3 linked regions of the Oryzias latipes genome follow. The protein of the gene in region 1 interacts with the protein of each later gene in a pairwise test. Links are inferred from orthologs where the notes say so. Each region holds a gene or a part of one and is shown on either strand. Other genes may lie near its edges.

Region 1 (10,556 bases):
ATGTCGTAGGTGCTGTAGACGCCTTTTCCAAAACCGTTTGCAGAGCCACGGCGTGTTCCTGACAGCTGAGCCGAATGACTTTAAAGACCCACTCTGATCAGAAAAGCATTCGCAGTGCTCTTTTAATTATGATGATACCATTTTAGGCTAGTATCTAAAAAAATCTGTCATTTTCCAGGACTACTTTCCGCAGAACGGCAGGAGTTCATTTGAAATTCACTTCTTGAATTGTGGGCGGGACTGAGACTCTTCCCATCGCCCATAACTGAGCGCTATCTGTTTATACGCTACCCTGCTAGTGAACAGCTCCTCACTCCCCCAACCTAGAACAATAAAATCAGTTTGATAAAGTAAAACTATATTTATTCTACAAAAATGCCATCATTTTTTCAAGTTTCGTTTTATTTACATCATTGTTTAGCATTATTTGTATCTCCTGTTATATATAAATAATTTTATTTGATAAAATACTTACAAATAAAAATAAATTACTGCATTTAAACCCCAATTATGTGCTGTGTTTAATGCAAATGAATTATTAATTTACTTTTTTTCCTTTCAGCAAAATGTAACGCTTGACGACATTTTACAGGTATGACATTATATATTCTTAAATTTCTGTTGCCTTTTCTTTTTAAACATATGCAATCAACTGGATCCTTAAATTCTTATAAATATCTATTTTTTTCCTTTAGAATGCTACAAGTGACAATGCAGTGGTACAGCTCAGTGCTGTTCAGGCAGCAAGGTAACATTTAATTCCACGTCAGCCTGTCTTTGTGTAGTTAAAGTTTAACTGATTTAGCCATCGGCTGAATTCTTCTTCGTCTCTGCCTGTGTGTTTTAGGAAATTGCTGTCCAGTGACAGAAACCCTCCTATCGATGACTTGATAAAGTCTGGGATTCTTCCTATTTTAGTCAAATGCCTGGAAAGGGATGACAAGTGAGTCTGCCCGTGTGTCTTTTACATGCATCTTTTGCTTCTGCTGCAGTGGCTTCGTGTGCATTACTTGGTTTATCCTGCAAGTCCACATGTGAGCGTGTGCGGTGGCATGCAGAGCAGCTGGCTGCTTCTCTTAGCTTCAGCCAATCCAAATAGATCGGCATTCCTCTCTCCTACATTTCACTGAATTCCCAGGACCTTGGGTTCACCGAGGGCCACAGACTGAAAAGCTTGGGCTGCTTTTATGGAAGAAATGGTTGGGCTTTTATTGACGATGGCATCCTTTAGAAGTTGATGATTTTCTTGAAAGGAGCTAGTTCTTGTTTTGAACATCTAGAATTTAGACAAGAAATCTGTCAGATCTGTTCTGTAAAGAAAGAAAGAACTTTAAATGGAACATTATATGGTTAAAAAGGAATAAAAAAAAAACAGAATTTCTAGCAATGTTGAAAACAGAAAACCACATAGGTTAGCAGTCTTTTATTTATTTATTTATTTTAACTGTTGTGTGACATCCAGGCTAAACTGTCTTAACAATTCTCAATTTGGGGTTTTAGAGTTTAATTTTAAAGGGGAATTCATATTTACCGGTAACTTTGAGTGTTTTTCATGAAAGGTTTAGACGTACACTCTGAAATGTATGACCAAATAATGATAAAAGGTAGAGGACCTTGTAAACTGAATTGACAGACGATGTAAATGATGGCTAACTGTTCTACATCAGACTATTATCTTTATGCCTTTTTAAGGAACAGCATCTGCAAATGTGTGACTTTGTTGAACACATGAATCCTTTTATAGTACACATTGATTTGAAACATTTTATGCTTTTTTTAAAAATTCAAAATCAGCATAAAATTGTCAGAAAATAAAAGTAGGAGACAAAACTGAGCCTAATCAGTTTTTAACATGGTGGACGCCATTTTTATCTTTTCTAGTTTGACATATTTTTGCTTCGTTTGTTTGTTGTCATGGAAACCAGTGTTTTCATTTCTCGTGCTGATTTGTTTTCTTTCTCTTTCACCACGTAGCCCTTCTTTACAGTTCGAGGCAGCTTGGGCTCTGACCAACATCGCCTCTGGGACGTCGGCACAGACTCAAGCTGTGGTTAAATCCAGTAAGTCGACCCCATACGCCGTCCTCCACATGCTTCCCCGTCTGTCTGGGTCTGGACGCCGTCTGCATGGTCGTCTTCTACTAGTTCAGCAAATCCCAGTCAGCTATTCTTCAGTGTCTCATTTTGCACTAGACTATAGACTACCGTACTGTTTAGGCCTTTAGCAAGAAGTAGTATACTTGAAGTTTATTTTATGATGTATTCTTGAATTTAAGTATATGTAGTGTAGGAAGTATACTCACTGAATACTTATTCCGACTAAATTGGAACATTTTAAGTTTACAATATATAAATAGTGTATATTAAGAAAACTTCAAGTATACTACCTCACTTTTAATACAGACTACGTATACTTGTAGTACACTTAAACAGACTACTTTTGTTTAGTGATGACAGCTCTTTAGGATGCAAAAAACAAATGTATTGACTTACTGTTAAGCAATTCATCTTTCATCTTATTTTGTTTGTCTCAAAGTTCACTTACATTTGATGTTGTTGTAATAAGTAAATAAAAATAGCATTTTCTTTTTTACCTGTTAACTTATTGATGAAAATAAGTCATCTATCAACCATTTGTTGACCAGAACCTTTATTTTTATTTGTGAAACTTAAATTGTGGATACATTAATATCATGTCTAAAACTGAATTCCGACACAAAAAAGACATGAAGTCACAAATGGATGAATGCTCGGGATAGCAAAATCCATGCTGTAAAAAACTATAAATGCAGACACAATTGAGGCAAAGACCTGAATAGATTTGATTAATTGTTTAGCTTCTTCTTTTTTTTGGGGGGGGAAACAGAAGAATAATCTTTAAATGTGAACACCATGACGCTGGTCAGCACTTGGGCATCAAAGGAAACCAGGTGGACTGCTTTACTGGCATTCTTTTCATCAACTTTCCACTTTAAAGTGAAATCAAAGGTGTTTCTTGATGCTACTGCCTGTGCGGGGTGTTAAGCTGCTCCACCAACGCAGCAGCTTTATCTTCATGTGTTGGTAACGTCACGTCATATTAGGTTTTTTGATCGTTGACGCTTGCTGACCCAGATGCAGTGCCGCTGTTCCTGCGCCTTCTACACTCTCCTCACCAGAACGTGTGTGAACAGGCAGTATGGGCTCTAGGAAATATTATAGGTAAGTGCTTTCCTGTGGTAAAGGTGTGTACCAACATTTGACATTGTCCAGCGCAATGTTGACATGCCACCTGTCGTATGGTCAGGCGATGGGCCACAGTGCAGGGATTATGTCATCTCCTTGGGTGTGGTGAAGCCGCTGCTCTCTTTCATCAGTCCATCAATCCCCATTACTTTCCTCCGTAATGTTACCTGGGTTATTGTTAACCTCTGTCGCAACAAGGATCCTCCCCCACCAATGGAGACTGTGCAAGAGGTGGGTGTGTCTGGACCTGATTACATGCTTTTGTGCTTCAAATCAGCCTCATCACCTTAGAAAGTCTTTTACTTTGAAGGCCTGTTTGTTCATCTAATGAGATGGCTACAACTCATCTACTCGAGATCTTTCGTTCTTGTTTTTTCCTACAGATTCTGCCGGCACTCTGTATGCTCATATATCACACTGACTTAAATGTGAGTATCCAATTGGCATCGCTGCTCATTTCCTGGTTTAATCAGTCACCTTTGTAACACAAACTTGCTGGTTTTAGATCCTCGTAGACACAGTGTGGGCTCTGTCTTATCTGACGGATGGAGGCAACGAGCAGATCCAGATGGTTATAGATTCTGGGGTCGTTCCATTTCTCGTGCCTCTCCTCAGCCATCAGGAGGTGAAAGTTCAGGTGAGATGAAATTTTGTCGAAGGTGTCGATCAGCCATTATGTACATGAAGTGGTCAAAAAGAGGGCTCTCTAACCTTTTATAGGCCAAGGACCGGGTTAATAATAATTTAATTTCCCAGACTTTCCTGTATAAGGCTGAAGTCCAATTTTCTGTTTTTAAAGCTTTCAGTTTCCCTTAACTTTTGAGGGTAAAGTTTATCTTCATACTCTGTAAAATATCTGCAGCTGGTTTAAACCTTTCCTCGAGATTACATATAGGAACCATTCAAATGTGATATAGATTTTCCATTAGTGAAGCCCGTTGAGACAACTGTGTTGTAATATTGGGCTATATAAATAAAACTGAAATGAACTGAACTGAATTAACCCAAAACTGTCATAGTGGAAGCTAAATAATCAGACGCCAACCTCAGCCTTGCGACAGATAAATACAAAACAAAGCGGTCACTAAAACTGACATTTTATAGATAAATGGGAATCTTCGTTTCATTAGACAGCCAGTGCCTGAATATGACACATAATTAATGTTATGATGCCATTTTGTAGTGCTGTCCCAATCTACAATTCCAAAATCGAGTGCCCTAGAAATTTCCCAGAAGTCTTAGCCAAAAACCAGGGTGCAACGCTGCTCACTAAATTGGCAAATACAGACCACAATGCATTGCGTTTGAACAATTATTGTGGGGAGAAAAAAAAGTATTTAAATGTATTTTTTAGATTAGATATCAACGTTGTTATCTAGAGCAGTGTTTTTCAACCTTTTCTGAGCCACAGCACACTTTAACCTTAAAAAAAAATCCCGCGGCACACCAGCATCCAGAAAAAAAAAAAAAAGGAGAAACTCATGGTCTGTATTGATCTACAGTCCCTACACAATCTCACATGCATTTTTGATATAATTGTGTCAGAAAAAGCTGGAAACTGCAGCTGTTTTTTTTCCTAAAAAATGCAATAAAAGTTAAGTTAGAAGATTTAAAAACAGATTGATGTGTGTTCGTTGTTTCAAGACGTTTAACAACAGATCTCCTTGTGCGCTGTCAATCTCATGACCCAATGCATCATGGGAGATGTAGTGCATAAAACGGCTGGAGATCGGTTTTCGGAGCTTCAGTGTTTTGTTCACGTGTTCCACGGTCTGATACCGGATTCTGTGGAAAGCTACACCGCTAAAGACGAGCTTTAGCTGCTATTTTTGTTAGAACTGAGCGACTTTACGAGCTAAATCGGGACAAGGAAGTGAAGACTTTAACCGCTTCTGATTGGTCAGACCGATGACATGTGATTAAGCTCCCCAAGAATGATTGGTGGAGACAGTTAAAGGGACGGGACTTTTCCAAAATACAGCCGAAGGTGCAGCTGAATCGCGGTACTGTACAGTCATTCTTATCAAAATGTCTTTAATAAAATAAAATAAACGCAAAGAAAATGTATTTTACATCTTTTATATTCCTAACTCCTCAGTGTTTTATCAGGGCCTGTTTGGATGAACAGAGAGCTGAAATCCTGGAGATGGGAAATGTTTTTAGATCAGTTAATGAGGACAATTTCCCACGGCACACTTGACCATCTCCCACGGCACACTAGTGTGCCGCGGCACACTGGTTGAAAAACACTGCTCTAGAGAACAGAGTGGATTCATAAATAGTTATAGAACACTCAAATTTATTAAATTAGATGATGTTGGTAACGTCAGGTTAAACAAAAAAGAAAATGTAGTGAGTGTGATCTCTGGATTGCTTTTAAAATCAAGGGCACTACATAGTCCTGCATTATATATTGTTTTTAGTAGTTAGGGATTAGGGTGGGAATTTGTACATATTTGGTTTTTGTTTGTTAAATGCAGTTTTTTTTATTTTGAAGTTGAAGACTCTTCTTCCTCTGTTTCCTCCCCGGCTCTTTAACGTTCCAAATACCTGTATTATTTTTTTAAAAACTTTGGGTGGGGGTTTCAATTTAACGATTGTAGGAACATGAGACAGAGTGACGTGACATGAGTCTATCCTGAGTCAGAGGTGGTGGAGACAATCCAGTAGTTTTTCAAAATAAAACTTTTTTCAGTAACAGATTATAAATTAATGGAAATAAAATGAATTTTTTTTGCTTGTTTTTTCTGCGGCTCACTACCAACTGTTGGGGACTACTAGTCTGACGTGTTTCTGTTCTCTCCCGTCACCCAGACGGCAGCTCTGAGGGCTGTTGGGAACATAGTAACGGGCACAGACGAACAGACGCAGGTCGTTCTCAACTGCGACGTCCTCCTACATTTCCCTAACCTGCTCTCACACCCCAAAGAAAAGATCAACAAGGTAACACAGCTACCTTTTGTTAGTTGGGTTTATAGGTTCAAATTCACTGCTAAGAATTTAGAAATCATGAAAGATTTGCTTGTTTTATGCATTTGACTTGCTTTCTGTGCCGCTGACACTATAGCCAGTTCTGGTTTGTGCGCTGAAGAACATTTATTTCTTCATGACTGTTTCCAATCGGGTATATTCTATATTCTGTCTGCAGGAAGCGGTCTGGTTTTTGTCCAACATCACAGCTGGGAACCAGCAGCAGGTCCAAGCGGTGATTGATGCTGGACTGATTCCTATGATCATTCATCAGCTTGCTAAGGTTTGTGGATCCTGGAGGAGCAGATTTTTCTCACTTGTATGGAGGGATCACCCCCTCCAGAAAAAAACTCCAAAAGGGTTTTACTGAAAATTACTGGGATGTGTCCTCTATTCCCTAACAGCAAGGGTGTGGTAGTACATCTCAGTAACAGCTTGGCTCTCTGCAGGGGGATTTTGGTACTCAGAAGGAGGCAGCTTGGGCCATCAGCAACCTCACCATCAGTGGCAGAAAAGATCAGGTTTGTTTTTCTTTTTACCGACAATACAGGCATGTTTTACTTGTATTTGCTGGAATAAACATATTTTTGATTTGATCAGAATTCATATTTAAATCTTTCAGAACATCTTTGATTGCCTTTTATTTTTTATTAACAAGTAAGATTTGCAATGATGAGATGATTCTTGGTTCGAAAATGTGTAACAAGGTGATTTGCATGTATGTCCTCCACCCTTGGAACGGTGTACCTGTGCTGTAACCAGGCCTGAATGTGGCGCGTGTGTATGCGTTTGTGTAGGTGGAGTTCTTGGTGGAGCACAACGTCATCCCTCCGTTCTGCAGCCTGCTGTCGGTGAAGGACTCTCAAGTGGTTCAGGTCGTCCTGGACGGCCTGAAGAACATCCTCATCATGGCGGGGCAGGAAGCCAGCACTATTGCTGAGATCATAGAGGAGTGTGGAGGTTAGCAGCTTTATATTAAACACCCACTCCAACAAACAAAAAAAAGTTTTTTTTGTGTGTGTGTTTCAAACATGCATTTGTGGCATTTTTCTATTGATGGACTTGCATATTAAGGACATTACGGTAATCAGAAGCAGATGAAAAAATACCTTTGGGAAAAGAGCATATTTAATCAAGGATTTATTGTATCAGAAGCTACAAAGCCCTGGACAAGACATTCAAGACAAATCAGTAATTCTTTTTTAATCTGAAATGAATAATTTGTAGCCACAAATTAGCATTTTGGCAGTGTTTTGTAGCACAAATTAGTCTTTTTTTTTTTTTTGTGCACAAAATGCTAATTTGTTGAGATGAAATGGTAAATTGTGACCACCAAATGCTAATTTGTGCACACTGAATACCTATGCATGGTCACAAATGATTAATTTAAGGGGAAACTATTTATTTATTTATGTCCAATGCCATATCTAGGGGGGTATTCCAGAAGGCACTTTTAAACCCTGAACTCTGGCTGAAATCCACCTGAACTTTCTTACTCTGGGTATGTCGGTTCCAATAGACCGGATATGAGTTGGTGTAATTACGCTCGACTTGGTAACCCTGGGTTAATTCCCGGTGCACAGCAGGTACATAAAGACATTCTCAATGGATCGCCGATTTCCAGAGTCACCATGGAAACACGTGGAGAAAAAAAGAGAATGTCTAAGTGTGATGCCCCAGATATTCTCATTTTTATAACATTAAAATGCAGTTTGGATTTGCAATATATAACATACACTCAGCTAACATGACTGACTTTAACTTCAGTTGTTGCAACAATAATCAGCACTAGTGGTGCTAAATAAACTCATACTCTCCCTTCCTTTCACTCATGGTGCAGAGAGAATAAAACACAACAGGACAAAATAACTACACAAAACACAGTAAAACAGCTAGACAACTAAACCCATTTGGTCAAAAATCCACACTTAAACCCAAATCCTTCCAGACTGGCAAGGGGAATGGTATCCCACAATTCCTTGCACTGCCAATCTAACAGCAGCACCAAAGTTACACCTACTTAATTGAATTAATCTGAATAAAAGTAAAATAAATTTATGATAACTATGTGTTATTTTTAAGTTGACTGAACTCATAAAATTATTTATCTTAACTGAAGCAAATAATTAAGTTAGATTAATGTAAAAAGTTTATTTTTCCAACATCCATATGTGGTCTTATCACCCTCTCACGGTGGAAAAAGTATTATCTGAGCTTCTTCATCCACTAAATCATCTTCAAATGGACACGCCATGCTGCTTCACCTCTCTGAAAACAGACTAACCTTCAACTAAACCTGCTCCAGACCAGGTTATGTTCAGAGCATGAGTTGCCATGGCAACTTGACATACCCTGAAACATACCTCAGTTTTTGGAACAGAAAGCTGAGGTTATCCGCTTCCTTAGCCTCAAACTTACCGTGGTAACTCACATAATCTGCTTTCTGGAATACCCCCCAGGGCCCTGTAAAATGCAGCCATCTTCACATCACTACAAGCTCCCTGCTCTGCTCCATTCTGATGCATCCACTTGTAGACGAATAGATCCATGAACATCTTTGTTTTCTGTGTCTAAGCTGGTATCTGGATTAAAACTGTACAGCTGGATAGCTCGCCAATTGCTCACTATTTTTGGTGCACCGGTAATGTGAGGTTTGGAGTGTGAGGGGGTTTAAGCACATAAACAGATGGATGATGGGACGGGGGCAGGATTGCTCAACTCCAACAGTTCCACCCACAACTCTGCTCACCCACAACACTTTGACAAGAGATGAAAAAACTGATTTTAGTGGGACTTGAAACAGATCTTAGTAGCATCCTTAAAAAATGAAAAGCATTCTTACTATTGTGAATTTTGAATCTTTTTTAAGGTTTGGAGAAGATAGAACAGCTGCAGCAGCATGAAAATGAAGACATCTACAAATTAGCTTTTGAGATTATTGATCAATACTTTTCAGGAGATATTGTAAGTTTATTTATCATTTTCATTTTTTGTAGATTTTTCATTTCTTGCATACTGGTCCAACACTAAATTTACTACTTTGTTCTTTGCCTTCCAGTTTGATGAAGATCCCAACTTGATTCCCGAAACCACCCAAGGAGGAACCTTTAATTTTGACCCGGCTTCTAACATGCAAACAAAGAAGTTTAACTTCTAAAAGCCAGGATGTGGGGTTCCACCCAGCTCCCCATCACAGACACGAACCCATCCATCCCACAACCTGGCACCTTTTGGTCCGAAGGATTTTCATGTCAGCATCCAAACTCACCACTTAAGGATTCACCCACACCTACTCCTGCACTGTGGGGTGTTTTTTTTCTTCTTCTTTTTTTTTCTTCATTGCCGTCTTTTACGGAAGATTGTAACCCTTCACAGGAGTCCTGCTTATATAAGAGACACCATGAACACCAAGAGGAGGCCTCGGCCTCTCCTTCCATGTCCTAATGTTAACTCCAAGGTAAAAACGAAAGGAAGAATTTGCCTTCTGGGCAAGATTTTGCCAAATGTCAAGTCTTCACAAAGACAAAATCCAAGCACATGTTATGACACCATTGTGATCACCACACGTATTTGTACGATGAGTGGACACCATTTTTTTCTTTACACTTTAGAAGGCCCTGCATTCATCTATTAGACTGTCACTAACGGGGATGAAATGTTGCTTTTTTGTTTGTGCTTTTCCCCTTCCTGGATTTTCCCTTTGACTTTGGTTCGCATAAATACGTACAGAGATGTGAACAAAGTATACACAACTATGGCACCCCTCTGTCTAGTTTAGAGTTTTTCCCCCAGAGCTAAGCCATGAATAACCACAGACCCTCGCTGCCTTCCCGTAGGACAGGTGGAGGGGGGAAAGGGCTCTAAGGTAAAAACAAACAAACAAAAAAAGAGGACTCTGGCAAAGTGACGGACTTGGCCCCAGAGTTTTAAAGGTGACCTCTGTTGGATAATCAAGATGTTTTATTTTAGAAAAATCATCAGAAATGTGAAGAAAAATGCCATTTTTTTGTTTTTGATAATGTAATTGTAGGACCTGCCAGCTGTTTGCTTCTGATGGCGACGACTTTTTTTGGTTGGTATTAAATGTAAATAACAGGCGGCGGCGTGTGGACGGGTCGCAGAGACTCAAGAGGAGGAGCACATCAACTGTAGCGTTCGTTTCCTCCACAGGACATTTTGGGTTTGCTTTTTATTTTTTTTAAACTTTTCCTGCATTTGGTCACATCCAGTGAACGGACTTCCCCTATAATGTGAAACTTTGAAGGAGCAATCCACTTAAACCTTCACGCAAAAGTCACACCCAGAGAAGTTATCAGACGGAGGACTTTTTTATTATTTTTTTTTAACCCTCAAAGAAAGCAT
Region 2 (11,151 bases), on another chromosome or scaffold:
AATAAATTTCAGTTAGCGTGTTCAATACTTATTCCCTGTGCCATTTCACTTTATTACACATAACTTCATTTATGGACATAAATGTTTGGATTTCTTTCTATGTGTGCATTACTTGGGTTGATGCCGACATCTGGTGAAAATTTCATGTCAAAAGCTTGATTAGAAATATGTTTTTTGAGAGAAATGTTGACGTGTTCAATACTTGTTTTCCCCGCTGTAATTATTTGCTTTAGTTAAGATAAATCAAATATTTTTAGTTAAGTCAGCTTAAAAATAACACGTAATTATCAGAAATTTATTTTACTTTCATTCAAATTAATTCAATTTAGAAGGTGTAACTTTGGTGCTGCTGTTAGATCGGCAGTGCAAGGAATTGTGGGATACCATTCCCTTTGCCTGTCTAGACGGATTTGGGTTTAAGTGTGAGTTTTTGACCAAATATGTTTAGTTGTTTAGCTGTTTTACTGTGTTTGGCAGAGTTATTTTGTCCTATGCTTAAGTGTCTGCACCATGAGTGAGAGGGAGGGAGAGGATGATGAGTTTATATAGCATGCCTAATGTTCTTGACCTTCATAACAATGGTGGAGAAAGGATACATGATGGCATACAGTGTGTCAAATTTGCTTCTTTCCTTTTATTGTTACAAAAATGAGAATATCTTCTGGCTCAAACTTAGACACATGAGAGTTTAAGATGTACGATAAATTAAGATGGTAAAAGACTTAACCCTTGTGCTATCCTATGACCCCACCCTTACATTGACGTGTTCTCCCTACCATGACAAAGGTGGATAAAGGTGGAAAGATTTCATGTAATCCATGGACACCAGTGAGGTTCACAAATCATTGAAGAAAAAAGGTTCAGCTAGTGGGTCTAGATGACCCAACTCCCAATGTTAAAGTGCCTAGGATAGCGCAAGGGTCAAGTTTTACAAACGTAAAAAATTAGGTTGAATAAATTTAACTCAATTACTTGTTACCAATAGAAGTAATTCATTTAAGTTGGCAAAATTGGACAAGTTATATATATATGCGTCACAAGGAAAATTTAAAATAACATCAGAAACTCGTCCGTTTACTTTGTCCGTTCTTTTTCTCCATGGAGAAACTCTTTTTGTTGATGCAGCCCTATTACTTTTTTGATGGATGTATAATCTTCATACGCCGTCATTGAAATCTCAGACTGTCTCAAATGTATAGTGCTCTCTTTTTTTCTCCACGCGTTTCCATGGTGACTCCGGAAATCAGCGATCTATTCAGAATGTCTTTATGTACTTGCTGTGCACGTGTATTAACCCAGGGTTACCAAGTTGATAACTCATATCCGGTCTTTTGGAACCCACATACCCAGAGTAAGCAAGTTCAGGCGGATTTCAGCCAGAGTTCAGGCTTAAAGTCAGGGTAGATTAAACATGCCTTCTGGAAACCCCCCCTGGTCTGATCAGCTGTTTGATGGCTGAACACATTTACAGACACAAACTGGACTCAGTGCTTCAAAGCTTTATTGATTCAGCCATTATGATCCATTTGTGTTAAAGTGGTTGTTTTTCTTAAAGCCACACAGATCTGCACAAACAAAAAAGCTAAACACAAACAAAACAAACGTCTTTTTTTTTAAAGTGCTGCATTTGGGAGTTCCCACAAAGTTTCTACAGACACACAATTAACTTCAACCTCTTTGCCAAACTAAACTGCAACACAACAGCTGTGGCTCCCCCTAGTGGACATTTGTGAAATCTTAAAATCTTTTAACAAGTCAGCTGTGTTCTTTACGTTCATTCCAAAAAGTCCTCCTCCCCAGAGGAGGTGAAGGGATGAAGATGATCATCTGATTCAAACTTAAACTTAGACCTAAAAGAAGAACGAAACACAACATTAATTTAAACCACAAGTTCGTGGTCATTCTGTCTGCAGGGCTTCAGAGCTTCTGGACATTCATTCTAATTAAGAACTTTAATAGACCAGCAGCAGAAATTCTCCCAAATGAGTCTGAATATTCAGAATCTATGCAGACATAGAACTCTAGAACTCCAGTCCAATTTGGTTCCCTGATCTCAGGCACCTCTTCTCCTGATGGCCTTCAACCTGCAAGAGAAAAACATGTAAACACAAAGTTTGCATGTTCAGAGACAGAAAGGCGTCTCACCTTCAGTGGAAGACGGTTTGCCTCCAGCGTTTGTCAGCGGTGAACGGCCACAAGCAGTCGGCAATGGCGGTGGAGAACGGCCGCGGCTCCACGCTCAGGTTGAGCAGCTCCAGGCGGGAGCAGTTCAGCTGGCTGTTGATTGGACGAGGAGCAGCTGCCGCCGGCTGCTCTGTCAGCTGTGCAGAAAAAACCACACACATGAAGCTGCTGCCTTTAACGCATTAAGGAGGCAAAGGAGGAAATTATTTTCATGTTGGTCTGCTTGCAGAGTGAACTCAGATCTTCCTATAAAGAGAACGCTTCAGTTCCGAATCTCCTTCTCAGGCTGGTTTTGGTCAGAGGTGCTTCAGGACTCAATACTTCACAGTTCCAGCTCTGTTCAGATAAATGTTACTGACATCTCTGCACTTTTGGGCCAAAGGTCACAGAAAAAGCTGTGTCACATTTGATTAAGTATTAAGGCAGCACGCATGGGCCTGACTCAACACTCACAGGTATGAGGTGGTTAGACGGCAGGTTGAAAGCCTGCGCCATGGCAACGGCCATCTCATACTTGGTCATCTGCTCTTTCCCAGAGAAATGGAAGATTCCTCTAATGGATGGATCCTGCAGACAGACAGGCAGACGGTGAGATCGTCATGGACGGGCCAGGCAAAAGGTAAGAATGGAAAAAAAGGGTGAAATTGAGACAGGCAGAAGGTGAGACGAAAAGAGAGTGAGACAGACATGCAGAGTGTAAAACAAACAGGTGATTATACATTCAAAGAGTGAGACATGTACAGAGTGAGACAGATAGGGAGTGAGACAGGATGATAGTGAGGCATGCAGCGTATAGAACAGGTGGAATGTGAGACAGTCATGGATTTAGGGGGTCATGGAATGAGACAGGGAGTGAGATAGACGGAGGGTGAGACATAGAAAGAGTGACACATGTGGAGGATGAGACAGGGAAAGCTGCCTCACCTGTCTGCCTCTCTCGGCCAGCTTCCTGCAGACAGCGGCGACGTCACGAGCGTCGGTGGGGAACCTCTGCAGGCAGTGGTCCAGCGCGCTGCAGCCGTCCTCGTCCGCCTCCTCCACCTTCAGCCACAGCGCCGTCACTGCGCTCTCCACCACCGACTCCACCTCGCCGAACAAAACGGGAACACGCAGGATCACGGCGCCTTTCGCGACACAACAGGGAATCAGTTCCAGTTTCTCTCAATAAGAACAGCGGGTCAGAACCAGCGGACTGGGTCAGAACCAGCAGACTGGGTCAGAGGGTTTAGGAAGGACAGCTGACAATAGCAGGCAGACGGTAAAACGGCCCCCCAGTACCTGGGCAGTGCCTCAGCGACTCCCTCTCCCCCTCCAGCTTGCTGCGCCCGTACACGTTCACCGGATTTGGACAGTCGTCTTCGCCGTACGGAGGACTCCGGCCGTCAAACACGTAATCGGTGCTGATGTAGATGAACAGCGCTCCACAAACAGCTGCAGTCCCATGAATGCCGTTGTCATGGAAACAAGAAAACAAATATCAGCATTTATTCTGTTGCATAATGGAAACTAAAAGTTTTGTGAAAAGAATCCGATTTGGAAGACATTTAACTTCAAAAGGCAGAAAAAAATGAGAGTGTCCAATCAAAGGTCTGAACAAACAAAAAAAAAACCACAGACTGACCTGCCTCTTTAGCAACCGTGCCTGTGGCGTGCACGTTCAGGTGAACTGCAGCTTCAGTGTGTCGCTCCATGACGTCCGGACGGCGCTCTGCAGCACAGTGCACGATCACGTCAGGCTGACACACACAAGCAAACACACACACACACACATGAAAACACATCCGTTTGAGCCCATAACGTTCAACTAAATCTCTAACAAATCCCTCTGGTTTTCCATGCTACATGTTATGTAGATCTCAAAGAACTCTGTACTATGAAAGTACATATTCTGTTGTGCATTGTACTCCCACAGTACAAGCTTTGTGGTACTGATGCTTTAGTGGGTAAGAAGATCATTTAAACATTTAAAACAAAGAACCACAAAAAGAATCTTAAAATCAATCCTGATGATTAAAACTTTAGTTTTGTCCTGTAGGACGTTTTCTGCCAGCCAGAACTATATGTCTAAAATAAAATGTAAAAGAATGTTTACAGGTTCAAGGTCATCAGCAGCCTCAGCGATGTGAAACTAAGTGTCATCAGCAAAGCTGTGAAAGACTACAACTTGTCTTCTGATGACATCCCCCACATGTACAGATGAAAAAGTTTAGGACCTACAATCGACCCTTGGGGAACCCCACAGGTAGCTCACAAAACATCGGCTGCATTGATCTACAAACATTTTTACAGCTTGGGTTTAGCTGCACTTTGTGTTCGACCTGTTTTCCGAAAGATTTCTAAAATAAAATAGTTTTTGTTAAAAATATTCTATCATTTGTCACTTTTGTTAAAAAAAGTAACAGAAGGCAGAAAAAAAAAATCGATTAAAGTTAAAATAGAAAATCAAATTTAGTACGAATGAAATGTGAGATTTTATTGTTTTGGCCAAATTGTCCAGCTCTACTTTATACAACTATATTAAACGCACAAACTTTCACACTGCATTTTCCTACAGGCTCCTACAGTACACACTCTATAGTACTCTATACACCAATGGTAGATACTTTCTCGGACCAAATCCGCTCCCAGTATATGCTCAGTAGTATTCTCTTCTCCTACAGTAAACACTGGGTTTTTCTGGAGTTTACTGCAGTACTTTGCCTCCTGCTCAGTACTCCTGTGTAGTATTATGAGAGGTACCTTGTGCTCGTGCAGCAGACTTCTGACAGCGTCCTCGTCAGTCATGTCACAGCGCAGGAAGCGCGGCTGCGCCCTCCGGTATCCTGTTCCGATGACACTCCAGCCGTTGCTCTGAAACTCTTTGCAGACAGCTCGACCCAGAAGACCCGTTGCCCCGGTAACAAGAACCTTCAGACCCTGGACCAGGTCTTCCTCCTAGATAACCAGCAAGCAGAGACAAAGGAGTAACGTATAAAAAGATACAAGATTTCCACAAACATCTGATCTGCTGCTAGAGCAAGGAGACGGGGAAAGCCATGATGTCCACTGGTCCTGCACAGGCTCTATCCACAGAGTCAGAGCTGTGAGGATGTGACGTCACAACAACGAAACGTAAACAAACAGGTGGAGATGGAGGTGGGCCCTCTTCCCCGCAGATTTAAGAACAGACGGACAGAGAGTCTGATGGCCCACTACTGGACGGGTCAGTTTTCAGTTCTGTTTAAAATAACAGTTCGAACCAGACAGGGTCTAAGTTTGTTTTAAAGATTCACACGGAGGTGAACGGAGACAGACCTGAACGACCTGCACGCGCCCCGGGCTAAATACGATCCTCATTCCTGCGCCTGCGTAGCTCATTTTGGGGTTCTCAATGATCAGATGTGATCCTGCGTCGTCCGCGATTGTCTGGACTGTGATCTGCGTACTTTTTTAACCTACTGCTTCCGTTTCCGGTCAGATCAGCTGATCATCGTCAGGTAACTCTCGCTAAGATGCTAAAGGTTAGCACACAGCTAGCAACCTAAATGAAATGGTCCAGAACCAGTACAGAATAAATACAAACACATTCCAGGTCCTGTTCTGACACTTATTGTCCGCCCAAGCATGCGCAAAACTGAGCTGAACGCTGATTTCTTTAGTGGCAAAGGAAGTGAAGTGATCCCCAATCCTATTCCGAGGTTACACATTTCAGCATTACACCTCAAACAAAATCGGAATTTTACCTCCGGATTTGCTATTCCAAAGTCAGGCATTTTATCTGCAGAAGACTAGACACCAAAATATACTAAGTACACTCTAAAGTCTAATAAACATTACGCGAATTTCAGTAAATTCATAGTTGAATCAGACAGCTTCTTCTTCGTCTGCACTTGCAATTATTCAAGTCAATGAAAGTAGCAGTACCGCCACCAGCTGGACAACCATTCGAACTGCAGTCAGGCGGAGGAGAACTGTTGTCAATTTTCAAAATAAAATAATGTATACCAAGTGTGGTATACATTGGATGTACATATACATCCAAACATTTTCTTCAAACAATAAACAGTTTAGCAATATTTTTTAAGAAAATAAGCAACCCAACAAAATTCAATGAAGTGAAATAACAAAAAATAAACTTTAAGATGGTAATTAAGTAATAAATTCAAAAACGTATTGTCTAATAGTCTTTTTTATAACTTCTGATCATATATTCTTAATTTTTCTGTACAAGCCAAATATAGTTTAAAAAAAGTTTAAATGGTATACTTAAATTAATTAAAACTAATAAATATTAAAAAGACAACAGAAACTGGTTTTAGAAATGTGAGATAATGATTGTTTTGATTGTATTGTTTGAGTCGTTGGGAATTCTGTCCTGCTGCGTTCCTGGATAAAATGTGAAAATTGGAGAATTTCCTGTTTCCGTACAATATGGCAGTTGAATTTGAAGTTTTGCTGACCTATGACTTTGAATTTTTCTCAAAAATGCAATTTATTTGGTACCAGCTACAAATCTAAACTCCTCCTAGGGATTTGCTTGCAACATTGCTCGCAGTTTTAATTTGACTTAGTATTAATAATTTTAACATCAGTAATGATTTACTTTGTCAGCCTTTTAACATAAAAAAACAAAAAACAAAGAAACAGTCTTCTTACTGCTTAAATAATAATTCTTCAATAAAAATATTTTCCACAAGGAAAAAAAAGTAATATATATTTTTTAAATGTCTTAATAAATTGTTGCTTCTGCAGGTAATTATCAAAGAAAAATGTCAAGGTTATATCTGAAAACACAAGACTGTCACGGTGCCTCCGGCTGCTACCTCCCCCTCCCCATCACCTCATCACCTGGCAGACCTTCTTAAGGAGATCCATCCCAGCATACTTCGCCAGTCCGTTATACTCACTCCGGTGCCTATGCCTGGTCTCAAGCTAAGTACTCTCGCTCTAGTAAATTTAAGCTTTGTACTTACTGCTCCTGTCTCACATCTTCAGGTCATCTCCTCTCTGGTCACGCTGGTTCCTTGCTCTGTTCCTGTTACGCCGTCCTCGGCGTTTCCCCTCGCCCCAAGCTGGTCCCGCCGTCCTCGGCGCTCCACCTCGTCTCAGGCTGTTTACACCGTCCTCGGTGCTCCATCTCGCCGCCAGCAGTTCCATCATCCACGACGTCCGCTCCGTCTCAAGTTGGTTTCGCCGTCCTCGGCTCAGACTACGTTGGATTGCTCACGGACCCTGACTCTGGCCCTTCGATCCTGGACCGGCTCTAACATTAAACATCTTGATTCTACCTCGCCTCCTGAGTTTCTTCCGGGTTCCAGCATCTGGGTCTACCTAGTAGTCCGATCATGACACAAGACTATTGAATTGAATTTCTTTGATGTCAGAATAGCCTCCCAGAGCTGCTGTTTGAATGTAAACAACCTTCCACCCTCTCATATATATATATATTTCTCTCTCTCTCTCTCTCTCTAGAGAGGTCAGGGGAGGATGGGGGTCAACACCATCAATTTATCTCCTTTTCTGTCCATAGCAGCCAACGATGCAGAGGTTTTCCTTCCAGCATGGGATGGTGCATTGTCATGCATGAAGAGGATTTTGTTATGGAAAAACGGTTCTTATATTTGTACCATGGAAGAACGTGGTCAATCAGAAACTCCACCTACTTCTCAGAGGTCATTTTCACACCTTCAGGGACCCCCAATGGGGCCGACCAGCTCTCTTTCCATGATTCCAGCCCAAACCATGACTCCTCCACCTCTTTGCTGACGACTCAGCCTTGTTGGGACATGGTGGCCATCTACCATCCCCCACTACTCCATCCATCTGGACCATCCAGGGTTACACGGCATTCATCAGTGAACAAGACTGTTTGCAAAGGAGTCTTCATTATGTCTGGGCCCACTGCAGCCGTTTCTACTTGTGACTGTTCTTTAGTAGGGCCAAGTAGAAGGTTTATCTAGAACTGCAAGCCTCTGGAGGATCCTACACCTTGATATTCATGGAACTCCAGAGACCTCAGCAGCTTTAAATATGTGCTTGCAGCTTTGTAGTATGTGACACAATCTGGAACTATTCCATTTTTGAGAATCTAAAATCTGAAAGAAAAGACTTTCATCTAGAAGCGACTCAAAATCCAGAGAACTGAGAGAATCTTAAAACCAGAACAGATCCTTAGTGACTGAAGAAACCTGATCAACTCCTCAAAGCTGAGAAAACTGGGCTATTTGAAATCCAGCTTTTATTGTGATGAAAATCTTTTTTTCCCCTTTGTGAAATTTTAATTTATATTTTGAGTTGTGGTTGCAGTGTTGTGTGTTTTTTCACTTTGAATTTGTTAAAAGGAGAAAGATTTTAAAAATGATTGGATCGCATCACTTCCTGTGTTGTCCAGGACAAAACCAGCAAACAGGAAGTGACATAACTTGAAGGTGCTGCACCTTCGTGAGGTACAGGATGGACCTGTGTGGTGCTTTAAATAGTGCAGTGGGAGTGACTGGTTCAATTCCCGACTTGTTAACAAACCGTCTCTATAAAAGCTGACTTGGCGTGAGATCCTCCATGGACCAGAACCTCCCTGCTCAGATGCAGATAGAGTAGTGTGGTGCCAGTGTCTCTGTGCTTCAAGCAAGAAAGTGCTGGTTCAATTCCCAGTTAGATATAAGGGTCCTGAGGAAGTGATGTCATCGTGTGTGTCTTTAGACCTGATTGTTGATTTTTGAAACGTGTGGCCGCCTTAAGATCAAAGGAACAAAGAACCGCAGCTCTGGTGTAGACGGATTAGCGCAGTGGGATTGTCTCTCTCCTTGAAGCTGGAGAGTGCAGGTTCAAGTCCTGCTAGTTGTTCATGATTCATGCTTGTGGTGAAGAAGAGACAGAGATGTTGGATGGCTTCATCTTTAGATGGTTGATGATCCAAAAGAGATCAATGGCTTTGTTGTGTTATAAGATGAAGGTTGAATACTAGAGATCATGCCACAGACAGTGGAGACACCTAGGAGGAGGGATACTGGTACCTGGAAAACTAGAACTGATAGGAGGAAACCATAGAAACCAAACCATGCTAGACTGTGTACTATTTATTTGGGGGGGATAGATTTTCTTTTACATCCCGCTAAGAAGCAGCTTTGAGCAACTACTCTTATACTTTCTCAAATCTATAGATGGTAGTTGGTAGAGGTCAAAAACAAAAATGTTGTTAATCTCTATAAATAAAAGTTTTGACTTACCTAGCACCTCAACACTGCCAGATCACCATTGTTGTTGTTAGCTCCTCTGTCAATCTGCACCATCCCTCCCCACCTGTACCTTCTGTGTTCTGACCCTCCACACATCCAAGCTGCATTCTTATTCTATCTAAATGCACATCTTCTTATGGGATCCTCTTCTCCTGGTCCTCCTTCCTCGGGGTGGGGGGCCAAAGATGAAGCCCCCTTTCCTGGCGTCCTGACTCCTCCTAGCCACAGCTTGAATTGTGAGGTGACTGAACACCTCCATGTCCCTGACTGGGACTTGAACCTGCGCTCTCCTGCTTCAAGGACAGAAATACTCCCACTGTGCTAATCTGTCTACACCAGAGCTGCAGTTCTTCGTTCCTTTGAGCTGAAGATGGTCCAGGAGCAGCAAAAACCAACAACAAAAACAGAGATGGGGATTGAACCAGCGCATCTCTGCTTTGGAGATCAAGTCACTTCCATCGCACTGTTGTGTACATCAGCCAGTCGATCACCATTTTTCCACCAAATGTGGTTTTCTGGGATTTGAACCAGCACCTTCTTGCTCTACCATCTCCATAGCAGCAGCTTTGGTTCCTTTCATCTCCATCAGTGGAACCTTGAAGTTGAAGTTTGATTGACAGGTGTACTTCACGCCTGTGACGATTGACGAAAAGAGCGTCGGTTCAAATCTTGAAAGTGGATCACAGGTGGATGGAGGCTTTGGTGACCTGTCCAGGGCGAGAAGCTGGTCTCATCGGTCACATTAGCACTGCTCTTCTGAGTCCTTCAGCCTGGAAGGACTCTCCTCATCCTCCTCCCTCAATATAAATAGCAGCCCCTCAGCTGGAGGACACACAAACCAAACACACACACACTCACAGTGTGGTCATTGCATGTTGGTGGGGCTGCAAAGATTTGTCCTGCTTCATAGAAATGTTGGGGTCAGCTGGCGATGACTTAAACATTTTCTCCTGACAAGAAGATCAAAAGTTGTATTTTTACCAGATATGAGTTAGCATAATTACGCTCGACTTGGTAACCCTGGGTTAATGCACGTGCACGTCAAGTACATGAAGACATTCTCAATGGATCGCCGATTTACGGAGTCACCATGGAAACGCGTGGAGAAAAAAAGAGAGCTCAATGCTTCAGTGAGATGGAGTCAGAGATTTTAATGACGACGTATGAAGATTATACGCCGATCAAAAAAGTAACACGGCTGCATCATCAAAAGAGAGTTTCTGCTTGGAGAAAAAGAACAGACAAATTAAACGCACGAGTTTCTATCTCATTTCATTTTCCTTGTGACGCATATATATATATATATATATAATTCATCCAATTTTGCCACCCTAAATAAATTACTTCTATTGGTAACAAGTGATTGAGTTAAATTTATTCAACCTAATTTCTTACGTCTATAAAACTTAATTAGTGTTTATACAACTCAAATGTACATATTTATCGGACTAAATGTCATATTTATGGAAGCAATTGTGTAGCATAAATAAAAAGAATAGTCAAAACCAGAAATGCTTTTTCATTTTCAAACTGTAACTGCATCAAATGACTCAAAAATGCTTTTTCCTTTTCTACTTTAACACGGCTTTTTCTGTCACTTAATTAAAATGATAAAGAAAATGGTATTTGACATTTCATTTTAAGAAAGGTCCCTGGTAAATGTGTAGCATAATTCATTTAGAAATGTCTAATTTGACAATTAAAATGGATTAATAGAAGTGCTTTTTAATTTTCAAAATGTAGCTGCATTAAA
Region 3 (11,192 bases), on another chromosome or scaffold:
ACTGAACAAACTGATTCATGCACTACAAAGAGTTAGACTTTGTTCTGACACGGCAATTGCCCTGAAACCCCAGAAAATTCCAAGTCAAACTATTGTCTCAATCGCCATTTGTGACAACTGTCTTTACCAGTTCAAACATCTGGAATAGCTGTAACGAAATAGCAGAGTTGTGTGGAGATTCAGGGGGAATCACAGGAAAAGGTTTGAGCAGTTTGATCCAAACTGAGTCCCACATACAATTTTATTTCCAAAAAATTGTTCATGCTAACAAACGGGTGTTCTTCCTTCTCTCATCTGTTATATTAAGTCCAAAAATTGCCACCTCTATTATTGCCCCCGTGCTATCACTGTGATGGACTGCATTTTTCCAGGAGTTTTTCAGAATTATCCAATTTAACGTCTCATTAAGTATGCAATATTCAAAGCAAAAAATACCGTTGTGTTTATTCTCTCAGCCATGCGTGCAGTGTCTTGCTGAGAATAAAGTAGAAGCTCTACTGGTTTAAGCCTAATTTTATTATTCAATTCAGCCATTAAGGGCATAGAACTAAAGGGCAGTTGAGGAAAAGTCTGGTAAAAAATGAAGGTGTTTAACAACCTATGGCCTGCTGTACGATACAACTCCACAGTAAGTCCCTACAAGCCAATACTAAAAACCACAGACTATTTCTGCATCATGAAGGAAAACAAAGGCACCCAACTAAGGGATTTTAGCATAACAAATGGCTGGTTGAAAAGAAAACTGTTTTCATCTAATGGCAGATAGACTAAAACTTCACAGTATGAAAACTGAAGGATTGAGTGTTATTAAGTCCACTCATGGGCTCATCCCACCAATCAATCAAAATAAAACACTGCCTTAATAATGCAATTATGTGAGCTATAATAAATAAAAATAGCCCTGCCCACTTTTGTCATAAATAATAAAATAAAGCAAACCATGAAAATGTTGACACCAGGTAGAACAAAGGTTTAGTAATAGTATTGATCTAATTTTTCAAATTAAGAGTCTGTATAACGTTGCTCACTTTACAAACCAGCCTCCAGTGGTCATTTGAGAAACTGGATCTCTACAATTTGAAATTTGATTTTATTGCTTTGGGTTTGCTTCAAACAGAGGTGCTTGGTTTAAACCCCTGAAAACTACACAGTGCTCTTCTGTACTACTTCTCTGCAGCTACAGATCTCCTATCGTCTAAAGACGATGTAATCCACTTGTGGCTCTGAAAGGTCACTATTTTCCTGCCTCCTTTGAAGAATATTTGTACAACTTCCCACTACTTCCTTCAACTAATTCAACTACCAGTGGTCCTTCTGCATTCCTAACCAGCACACTAAACCTACCAACCTATGTCTGTTTAGGTCTGCACCGGTCATCCCTGACTTTATTCTAGAAAAACTTTGTATTCATCCTAAATGTCGGAGACGACCACAAACAAAATAAAAATAAAAAAAAAGGGAAAAACACACCGTTTGCATGCAGCTTTTAAACTTAACATCCAGTCTGACACATTTGAAACTCTAGCACATTCCAAGCAAACCCTTCTGGTTAGACTTGGCATAGGTTTTAAGCTGAATGCCCTTCTTGGGGCAATTCTATACATTTATCTGGACTTGGAAGCGGCACAAGAAGACACTGGATTATTACCTCGGTGAGGTTTCATTAAAAAAAAAAAAAACAGCACTCATTTGAAACTATCAAAATGTTTTTACGGTTTTAAAAGAAAAATTGATTAAATATTTGTCTATAATTGGTATATATTATTCAGAGAAAATTAAGTGTGGTAGTACATCCTAAAAACACTTAACTGTAAATATCCGCAATCCTACTTAAAATCATGCATCATGCACCCATTACTTATTTCATACATCAAACTATTCTATTAAATATTAAACGTGTTTAATCCAAAAAGAGACATACTTATGAGAAATACCATTTGAGCTGTGTCACAGTGAGAAATCCTGACATACGCATTTAGTCCTAAATCTAATTAAATCTATTTAAATACACGTACAGATGGATCAGCTATATAATTGCAAAGTAATCGAGGGCTAGGCTCGTTAGGGTGTTAGTGGTGTTAGGAGGGAAAGGGTTATTTGAAGAGTTAAGTCTTCAGATGATCTACGCAACAGAATGATAACATTTAATTGGTTGCAATTAGGACTGCCTGAATTAAGACTAGCGGTGACAAAATGGTAATTCAGGACTATGTGCTTTCAGCACGGGATCAGATCCCAGGTTACGTTGACAATTGGAAGATGTTTTGTTGTTTTCATTTCAATTAGATCCTCTCAACGCTTGTTCACGGAGAGCAGGCTCCAAAGTTTGGCAATGCAAAGACAAAAGTTAAACTTGGTGCAACACAGTTGAAGGATCTGATTTACCTTGGAAATAAAAATGGTGTTGATCTTGGGGTTGTGCTTGAAATTTTGTAAAATCTGCATTCGCTCCCCCTGAGAGGTAGGACCATAGATGTAGGGCCTTGAGAGAAATATTGAAAAAAATAAAAAAGAACACATAAAAAAAGTATTTTCCACAAAGACAAAATGCTGATTTAGTCAAAGTGTGAAAACTCACTTGTTGAGACGTACGGCGTATTCCTTCAGGGCAAACACGTTGTCAGCAAACACGATAATTTTGTCGTTGCGCCGCTCGTGGAAGCGAATGAGAAACTGGCAAGCACGGAATTTGTTGGGGTTCATCGTGTAAAGCAGAATCCGCTTCTTCGTCTTAATGGCCACATATTCTCGGTAAAACTCAGGAGACATCGGGCACCACACCTGAAGCAAAGACAGTTCAGTCACTCAGACTGCCTGAACTGACAGTGTGATCCAAGAAGAAATGCTTTTCTTTTATTAACAGAGACCACAAATAACCGTAAAAAATATAACCAAATGAATAATTTGATCTATTGTTTAAGAAAGGAATACAGGTGAAGACAATCTAAAAAAAACATTAACAGTAAAGGAGCAAATAATCCCAGTCAAACACAATAAAAAACAAATGTATTATGCAGATTTGGTAGGAACACTGACATCCTTGTGATGTAAGAGGAGATTGGAAATTTGAACAATAATTAGAGGCAGATCCTTCCTCCTTCCGTTTCTGTTGTACCTCACAGAAATAGCTCTTAATGATCTTTGAGACGTTAACCAGCATTAATTAAGTTCTAAAGAAACCTCGTTAAAGAATTAATGGACAAATGTTTTAAGACAACAGTTACGGCACTGTTTAGCACAATGATAAAGAAGTTTTTATATGTTCCATCTTTGTGTTAGAAGAAGCAAGTAAAGTAAGTGAATTCTTACTCATTTCTATATAGTAGCAAGTTCATACAAAAATAGGCTATAAAGAAGCTTAAACTGCAGCTTGCATATTTGTGGAGACTTTCCTTCATCCATGACAAAGTCTTTCGGATAAAAGGCAAAACATCTTCAACTTAAAAAAACAAACCAAGTCCAGAAGACTTTTTAAAACTTTTTCTGATCTGTAGCTATAAATTGAAATATTTTAAAATGTATTTATTTCTTTATTTAATTTTAAACATTACATTTAATTTGAATATAATATAAATAGAGTGGCTTTTCATTGAAATATTTTAAATAATTTTTTATAATTAATTATTCAGACAAGCTTTTAGGTAGCATTAAAAAAAATTGTGAAAAGACACGTTTAAAAAATGAATGTTGATTTAAAAGATATGTAAATAAAAAAGGAAAATGTTTTAAAAGAAATTTAGAAAGCAAAAAAAAAAGTAACTGAATAATTTATTTATATTTCTTATTTTGATGTAATTTACTGATTAAAACATATCCAATTGATCTGTTTAGTTTTTTTATCAAATGACATTCAGTACAGCTTTGACTAAAAAAAAACAAAAAAACTCAATATTTATCAGGTTAAAAAGTCAAGAAAAGGCAAATGACCAAAGCTGATATAATCATGAAATATGTTGTGGCCTTAACTGTAGTGGAGTTCTCACCTCTGCACACTGGACTTTGGCTATGTATCCGTTGTTCTGTAGTTCCATCCAGTTCGCCTCATAGAGCTTCGGGCCTATCAAGAAGTTCAGATCCACAATCTTGTCATCTTCTCTGACCAGTGTGGCAGTGAGGCCCAGTTTGCAATGAGCTTGGACGATGGTGAGAACCCGACGAAACATTCTTGCTACAGAGAAATGAGAGTAGTTATGCAAAGATCAATTCTTTCACAAAAACATTTGCCCCGATCCTTTCTGTTCCTCTCTCTGCATCTGAAACTGTTATAAATTGTCCTTTTGGAACATACATATGCAGCTTTAGAGTGCATGTTAAATAAAACTATGCTCTAAACTACAAAGCTGAAGAACTCACCAGGAATGGTGTGCACCTCATCCAGAATAATGAGTCCCCACTCCTGGCTCCGCATCCACTCCATGACCCTTTCAGCTTCCCAGGATCGCTTGGTGGTGTGACCCAGCATGGAGTAGGTGCTGATAGCCACTGAGCAGCCGATAGGCTTGTCCTTGGCGTCGGAAGTGAAGCGGCAGATTAACGACTCGTCGATGGTGGACCACATCTTGAACTGAGCTTTCCACTGCTCCACGGACACGGAAGAGTTTCCCAACACCAGGCAGCGTTTTCGCACCGTGCACGCTGCCGTGACGCCCACCAGAGATTTCCCCGCACCTGTGGGTCAGAAGTAGACATACTGATAGAAACTAAGTCCAATACTGAGATTTTTATTTTTTTTGCAACAATCTATTGAAAAGGTTTTGCATTTGCAATAGTACAATGGCAATACCACAAAGAAAAAACACATAAATAAATGATCCTGCCTGAATTCCTTATTAACAGAAAACTAGAGGATCAACATAACAAGTAGAATCCAAATGTTTCGATTGTAAAGCTAGTTATACTTTTATGACTTAGTTCGATGGGTAAAAATAAAAAGCAGGACTTTTTAAAAAAACGAACTCCAAGCTATTGATATTAAACTAAAAATCTGTCTCTCCAAATCCTTTAATTAAACGAATTAAATGCCTAAATGCCTTTTTAGTCATCCTCGGTTCTCTTAAAATCTCCATGGCAGCTTACCGCAGGGCAGCACGATGACTCCAGATCGTGCACGTCCATTCCCGAACATTTTGCGCAGACTCTTCTCCTGGTAGGGCCGCAACACAGCAGTGGGCTTCAGGTCTATGGCAATGTCCGGGTTAACCGTGTCATTGCGAAAGTCGTACTCGGCTAAGAGAGGGTACTCCAGCTGAATGCAACGTTTTTGTAGCTCTTCAATCATCTCCTACAGCAAATCAGATTTAAAAAAAAGAGAGAGAAAAACTTGGCGATTTCTTCTTGATAATGTTAAATTTGAAGTAAAGTGCCAAAAAGAAAACTGTGGTTATATTTAGACACCAATCCCAAGCATACTTGGCGAATTTCAAAGGAGACTGTCTGAGTCTCTTCCTCCTCTTCTTCATCTTTATCCATTTGCTCATAGTATTTGAAGATGTCCTCAGGAACCTGTTGGGTGGACGTTTGCCCATCATCAGGCTGCTGTGAAGTGGAAGCACTTCCTCTTTCTTCAACCGATTTCGTGATCTGTCAAAAACAAAAAGAAATGCATCTTTCCACAGAATCTTTTGTGACACACAGAAAGCACATCCGTCTGTGCATTAGACACCTTAGCTAAACATATTTTCACTTTTTTTATTTACAAATTAAAGAATTTTAAAGTACCTTCAAATATGAGCATTGCATGTAAAAAATGTCATTAAATGCAAAGAAATCCTGCTTAGCGTACCGCTGGCTTGCTGTGGATGACCTCAGTAATGAGCTCAGAGTCTGCTCCGCCGGCAGTGCGAAGACGACAGTCACGGATAACGCTGTCCTGCAGGAGGCGCTGGATCACATCAGGGAAGGCACTTTCCACAAAATACCTGAAAGAAGACAAAACCCGTAAAGGGTGCTAAAAAGACGCTTGGTGATAAAATAACTAACGCACCATCCAAATAAACTGACCTGTTGTGCTTGAGCACCAGCTTGACTTTGCCATAGCTCACAGTACAGAGCTGATCAAAAACAAACAGAGATAAATAATAATATTCAATCGCCATAAAAACCTTTTCCATCAGATTTTGCTGTCAAACCTTTATAAACTGTACAATTCCATCTGGTACAGATGTTTTGCTGAGCTTCTGCAGATACTCCACAATATCAGAGGTTTGCAGTCCCACACTGACAGCTGCATATAGAGAATATGCAGTCAGCTTGTACTCATGGATGTGGTTAGGTCTGCACACAGGCTCTGCAATGGCCACCAGGAAATCCTGGGCATATTTATACACTGGTGAGAAGGCTTCCAAAAAGATGTGCCCATCTGGAGCCTAGAAGAGGTAATAAAAAAATTAAACAATAATAATACTTTGCAGTTGCGCAGAAGCTGGAAGCCTGAAATGAGTCCAAGAGCCCATCAAGCACAGCTTACCACCCAGAGCGGCCGTGAAGAGTGGTCATTCTTCAGCAGCATCTGAACACGGTAGTCTTTGGCCCCATACTCATCCAGCTTTGTACCGGACTCATCCACCTGTTTTCCTGCAGCAGCGGGTACGGCTTCCTGGGACTCGTTACCGGCTACCTCTTCATCCTCCTCTTCCTCTTCATAGTAACGTTTTTTGGACTTCTTTTCTACAGCCCAGCAGGTCAAGAAATGAGACAGTATTCTCACACAACTGCTTTCTAGATAGACATCACTGATGTGATGTTTATTTAGTTATTTATTTTAAGACGACTTATTTACATCAGATCTGACCTGATCAAAGTAATAACAGTGAGTCAAAAACAAACCTGCCCTTCTGTCCTCGCAGCAGAATTATCTTACTATCATTTGCTTAAAACTAAATCGAGAAGCTTATGTATTATGACAATATAAAAAATAAGACAAAATATTAAAAATGAGTGAGTGATGAGAATGAGATTGTTGTTGTGTAACGACGTCACTTACCCCGCTCTCCTCTGTCCTTTCTACCCATTATGAAATGTCTGTTATAAAATATGTCTAATACATTATACAGAATTAAATTATTCTACGGAAAATTTGCAAAAGAGCACTAACAAGTGCGTCAATTTCAAGAAATTTAGCCAAAATGGTGAAAATCCAGATGAAGAAAGCTTCCGGTCCTCATTTTTTCTTCTTTATTGAAGAAACCTAAGCAGCGCGTTACTGCCCCCTTCTGCCGTGGAGTGGAACCTCACAATGAGATGCAGAGCTTATTTTTAGCTTTCCAGTTGTAACCTGTAGGAGTCTCCACAGCAAAAGCCTCTGCCTAACCACGTCCTATGTATTCTCCACCACTATATAACACCCTCATGTCCTCCTTGACTACATCCTGGCAGTTCTCACTCAACGTCCTTTTATCAATGTTTAAACCATCTAGCCCTATGGAGTCCTATACTGTTCATAATTCAATAAATAAATATAGCCTACCCCCAGAACATTTAACAGGCGCTGTCCCAGAGCAGAATCAAGTAAGTGTCTGATAAAGTGGGTAATTTATAAAAATCCAAGCTCGGGTCCTCTACCAGAGGCCTGGGAGCTTGAGGGTCCTGCGCAGTTTCTTAGCTGTTCCTAGCACTGCGCTTTTCTGGACTAAGTGCATAACAGGGTGTATAATGTACTAGACTGTGGACTGTGAGCACTAAAATTGTACCTATTTTCCCTTTGCACCATTGGTAGATCTTGGAATTCAAACATTTCATCTTTCCCTCCTGATCTATTTTTATTTCTTTTGTGCCTGAATTGTATTCTTTATTTGACAACAAACTTGATTATATCAAAGTTAACATTGAAGATTCAACCTCAGTCACTACATTTCAATTTCTTCTGCCTTTAGAGGCGGCATGTGGTGCATTGTTGGGGAGGTTGACCTCTGATTGGAGTATTGCAGGTTTGATTCCTGCCTTGCCCACCCATGTTTAAGTGTCCTTGGGCAAGACACTGATCCTCACGTTTCTCCTGGAGGGACAGGCTAGCACCATGCATGGCAGCAGAGCCACCATCAGTGTGTGAATGTGTGTGTGCATGGGTGAATGTGACTTTGACTCAAGATCCCTTTAGACCAAATTCAAGGTAGAAAAGCGCTTTATAAGTATTTACCATTAGCCACAGTGTTTTCATGGAGTGTTTTTAATCTGAAAGTTTATGGAAAAATCTAGTGTATATAATTAACTGCAAAACTTTAAAATTTCTTTCTTGCTTTTATCTTAACACATTAGTTTATGTAGTATTTTCAGCTGCACAACCAAATTTTCTGGATTCTGTAATATTAGTATGAAATCTCAGGTTGATCCCAAGGTCTACCTCAGTGATTGTATTTTGCTCAATACCAGTTTGTACAAGTATGACAACCTTTACTTCTATATTTTCACTAATTACAATACATTTTTACTACAATATGAATATATGAACTACATGACTATATAAGGCTTGATAAATGAGAAAAAAATACAGCAGCTAATTAGTACAAAACCATTAGTACAAAGTTTTTTTCCCCAAAAAACTTTATTAACAATTGAGTCATCATACAGAGATCAACAGTAACTATATAAACAACGTCACCACAAATAACAATCATAACCTAACATAACATATATATATGTAGAACATAAAATAAAAGAATGAACATGATACACAGACGCACATGCGCACACACAAATACACAAACACACAAAAAAGAACATGAACCATCCAAATAGTTTAATACTTGTTAGGGGTTCTCATTAAGTTTATATTTCTGAAAACATTAGTCCAAAGTAATACGACATTAATAAACCCATGCTTTTATTCTGAAAGCACTTTTCCGCCTTTGACCAAACAAATGTATTTACTTCCTGTGTAAAAGGTCAAAAAAGCTTTTTATGGACGATCTTCGTTTTGTGGTTTGTGAAGTGTTTTATGTCGTTTAACAAAATCTGATGAAAACAGTGAATTAATTCAAAGTCCAAAATGTCGTCGGAAGACTTAATTGGACCTGCTTTGCCTCCAATGTTTCTAAAGGAGAGCTCCGAGGACGAGCTTAATGAAAATGACTGTAAGTTAAGGAATCAACATCCAAGTATAATTTTTGTTGCTACGTCAGCAGTTCATGTTAACTCTTGTAGAAGTATTTTTGCTTTAGTTTGATATCTATCTTTTCTGCAGTTGCTGGGCCGGCATTGCCTCCCGGATACAAACGGGAAGAGGCGTCGAGCTCTTCGGATGAAAGTGAGCCGGAGATCGCCAGGAAAAGAGCAAAGACGGGGCACAGCGCTGGAGACCGGCCTGAGTGGGTTCACTAAAGTGTTTCAGGTTCGAATCCCAATACATTGTCTCTATAGCCAAATAACGACATTGGATTCGGTCTCTGTGCAGACAGAGCAGTAATGAAGATGACGGTTTCTTTGGGCCAGCTCTGCCTCCAGGATTTAAGAAACAAGAGAGTTCTCCTGAAAGGTGAGCAGATGCCCTAAGAAATGTTTTTAATGGACTATAAAAGTAAAAAAAAAAAAAAAAAAAAGAAACTATCGTTTGAACTGTTTTAATTGTGATTGTGCATTTTTCTGGTTAGGATGGAGGCAGGAAACTCACTGATCATCAACTGTTAATTAACCTGTTTTATTGTAGACTCTTTTGTCATAGTATGACATTTGCCTCTATAAAACCCTGGTTCAAAAAGACTTAAAGATTTATTCAGAAACGGCAAAGTATAGAGAAAATACAGCAGCAAAACAAGCCTAAAGTTAGACCTAAAGTTAGATTTGAGGTGTTCCTGCAGAAGTGCGGCTTTAACTCTCGCCAATGTGGAGGTCTAGATTAAGTCGGCAGTCGTTATAGATTTTGTTCCTCGATCCTCAGTCTTGCTCTGATGATTTTTTCACACAGAAATGGCTTTTTTGTCCTCCAGCTTTTCTAAGCCAACTGCTATTTTTTTCCCAGTTATTCAAAATTATATCACTTTCCTTGTGAATTGACAACAGCTTTATTGTCAGACTAGTGCTCATGTTTTTTCTTTCTTGGAAACCAAACCAAAAATGCTCAAACCAGCCCACAGAAAAAAACCCTCTTTTTTTAGAGGGGCTGTTGATCAGTGACACCCAACTGCAGCTACTAGGTCTGAGCGCCATTTAGAGGTACTTACTACCCTCCTATTTTCATTACATTTTGGTCATTGCAGACAGTTGTGGTGTGGTTTGATTAAAGTCAATACTTCCATCATATTTTTGTTCATTCCCACATCTATAAAGGAACCAGCAAATTAGGGCTAACAAACTATGCCAGTTGATAACATTTTTACATTATTTTTGAAGGCGCCCCATTGTTGGTCCCGCCCTGCCCCCGGGGTTTTGCAAAGCAGCACAGAATCAAGAGGATGACAGTGATGGTGAAGATGGAGAATGTCTCCCAGGGCCCGCTCTACCTCCAGGCTATTGTGCTGAATCCTCCAACAGTGAGGGAGAGGATGAGGAAGTGATTGGACCCATGCCTGCCAAAGGCCCTGTTCAAAACTCTGTGGCCCTTGATATTGAGCGCCGAGCAAAACAGATGAAAGACAAGCTGACAGGAGTTGTGAGACATCTCCTTTTTTTCTGTTTATTATCTGTTTCTTTTATAGTTAAATAGTTTTACAAATAAATTACAAACAATAGACTGTTTGTCTTTGTGCATTTTCTATGTTTTTTCCTTTGACATTTTTCTAATACTGTATTTTTGGTGGGTAGGAAACTCCTGCACTGCCAACTAGAGAAACATGGATGACTGAGCTTCCACCAGAATTGCAACACATCGGCTTGGGAGCTCGTACGTTTAAGAAAAGGACTGGTCCAGAAAATAAGGATCGCTCCATTTGGACAGATACACCATCAGACAGGGAGCGCAAAGCTAGGGTATTTATTGGAAAAGACAATAACTTTGTTTTGATGTGGCATCCACCCCCCTTTTTTTCTTAATCTTATTTTTCTTTGAATAGGAGCGTCTTGAAGGTAAGAATAAAAAAGAATCAGAGAAAAAGGATGATGTCACGCATGTTTCTAGAAAGGACTTGGAAATGGCAGAAAAGGTTTCTAAATATAATGTAAGTTGGGAAAACTTTACATATCTGCTAATCTAAATCTCAAATTTTGATTAGTGTGTCACGATGAAAATGGGGGCTAAAAGTGCTAACTTGTTTTTTTTTTCA

Evidence for each region.
Region 2: the proteins of kpna3 (region 1) and mat2b interact in binary tests that used the Homo sapiens proteins (3 or more experiments, as listed by UniProt). The two-hybrid records come from large-scale screens. The link is inferred for Oryzias latipes from reciprocal best matches to the Homo sapiens genes KPNA3 and MAT2B.
Region 3: the proteins of kpna3 (region 1) and ercc3 interact in binary tests that used the Homo sapiens proteins (3 or more experiments, as listed by UniProt). The link is inferred for Oryzias latipes from reciprocal best matches to the Homo sapiens genes KPNA3 and ERCC3.

Annotation. Positions count from the first base shown.
Region 1 is NC_019879.2:9,665,794-9,676,349, forward strand, and holds part of kpna3 (importin subunit alpha-4), read left to right. Parts: intron 1-562; coding exon 563-592; intron 593-695; coding exon 696-748; intron 749-847; coding exon 848-943; intron 944-1,974; coding exon 1,975-2,060; intron 2,061-3,113; coding exon 3,114-3,200; intron 3,201-3,285; coding exon 3,286-3,455; intron 3,456-3,607; coding exon 3,608-3,652; intron 3,653-3,729; coding exon 3,730-3,861; intron 3,862-6,038; coding exon 6,039-6,167; intron 6,168-6,372; coding exon 6,373-6,477; intron 6,478-6,643; coding exon 6,644-6,715; intron 6,716-6,991; coding exon 6,992-7,154; intron 7,155-9,063; coding exon 9,064-9,158; intron 9,159-9,252; coding exon 9,253-9,351; 3' UTR 9,352-10,556. UniProt on the Homo sapiens protein: Functions in nuclear protein import as an adapter protein for nuclear receptor KPNB1. Binds specifically and directly to substrates containing either a simple or bipartite NLS motif.
Region 2 is NC_019872.2:23,841,070-23,852,220, reverse strand, and holds mat2b (methionine adenosyltransferase 2 subunit beta), read right to left. Parts: upstream 5,656-11,151; 5' UTR 5,542-5,655; coding exon 5,479-5,541; intron 5,387-5,478; exon of another isoform or gene 5,276-5,386; intron 5,119-5,275; coding exon 4,924-5,118; intron 3,921-4,923; coding exon 3,806-3,920; intron 3,616-3,805; coding exon 3,463-3,615; intron 3,309-3,462; coding exon 3,109-3,308; intron 2,752-3,108; coding exon 2,638-2,751; intron 2,322-2,637; coding exon 2,148-2,321; 3' UTR 2,146-2,147; intron 2,085-2,145; 3' UTR 1,480-2,084; downstream 1-1,479.
Region 3 is NC_019861.2:14,776,536-14,787,727, reverse strand, and holds the start of ercc3 (general transcription and DNA repair factor IIH helicase subunit XPB), read right to left. Parts: upstream 7,180-11,192; 5' UTR 7,011-7,179; coding exon 6,983-7,010; intron 6,667-6,982; coding exon 6,467-6,666; intron 6,366-6,466; coding exon 6,129-6,365; intron 6,051-6,128; coding exon 6,001-6,050; intron 5,919-6,000; coding exon 5,783-5,918; intron 5,581-5,782; coding exon 5,410-5,580; intron 5,282-5,409; coding exon 5,077-5,281; intron 4,669-5,076; coding exon 4,354-4,668; intron 4,169-4,353; coding exon 3,984-4,168; intron 2,782-3,983; coding exon 2,579-2,781; intron 2,483-2,578; coding exon 2,386-2,482; intron 1-2,385. Other genes in the region: gpalpp1 (GPALPP motifs-containing protein 1), read left to right, coding at 8,984-9,068, 9,179-9,302, 9,389-9,469, 10,324-10,582, 10,735-10,899, 10,983-11,087. UniProt on the Homo sapiens protein: ATP-dependent 3'-5' DNA helicase/translocase. Binds dsDNA rather than ssDNA, unzipping it in a translocase rather than classical helicase activity. Component of the general transcription and DNA repair factor IIH (TFIIH) core complex.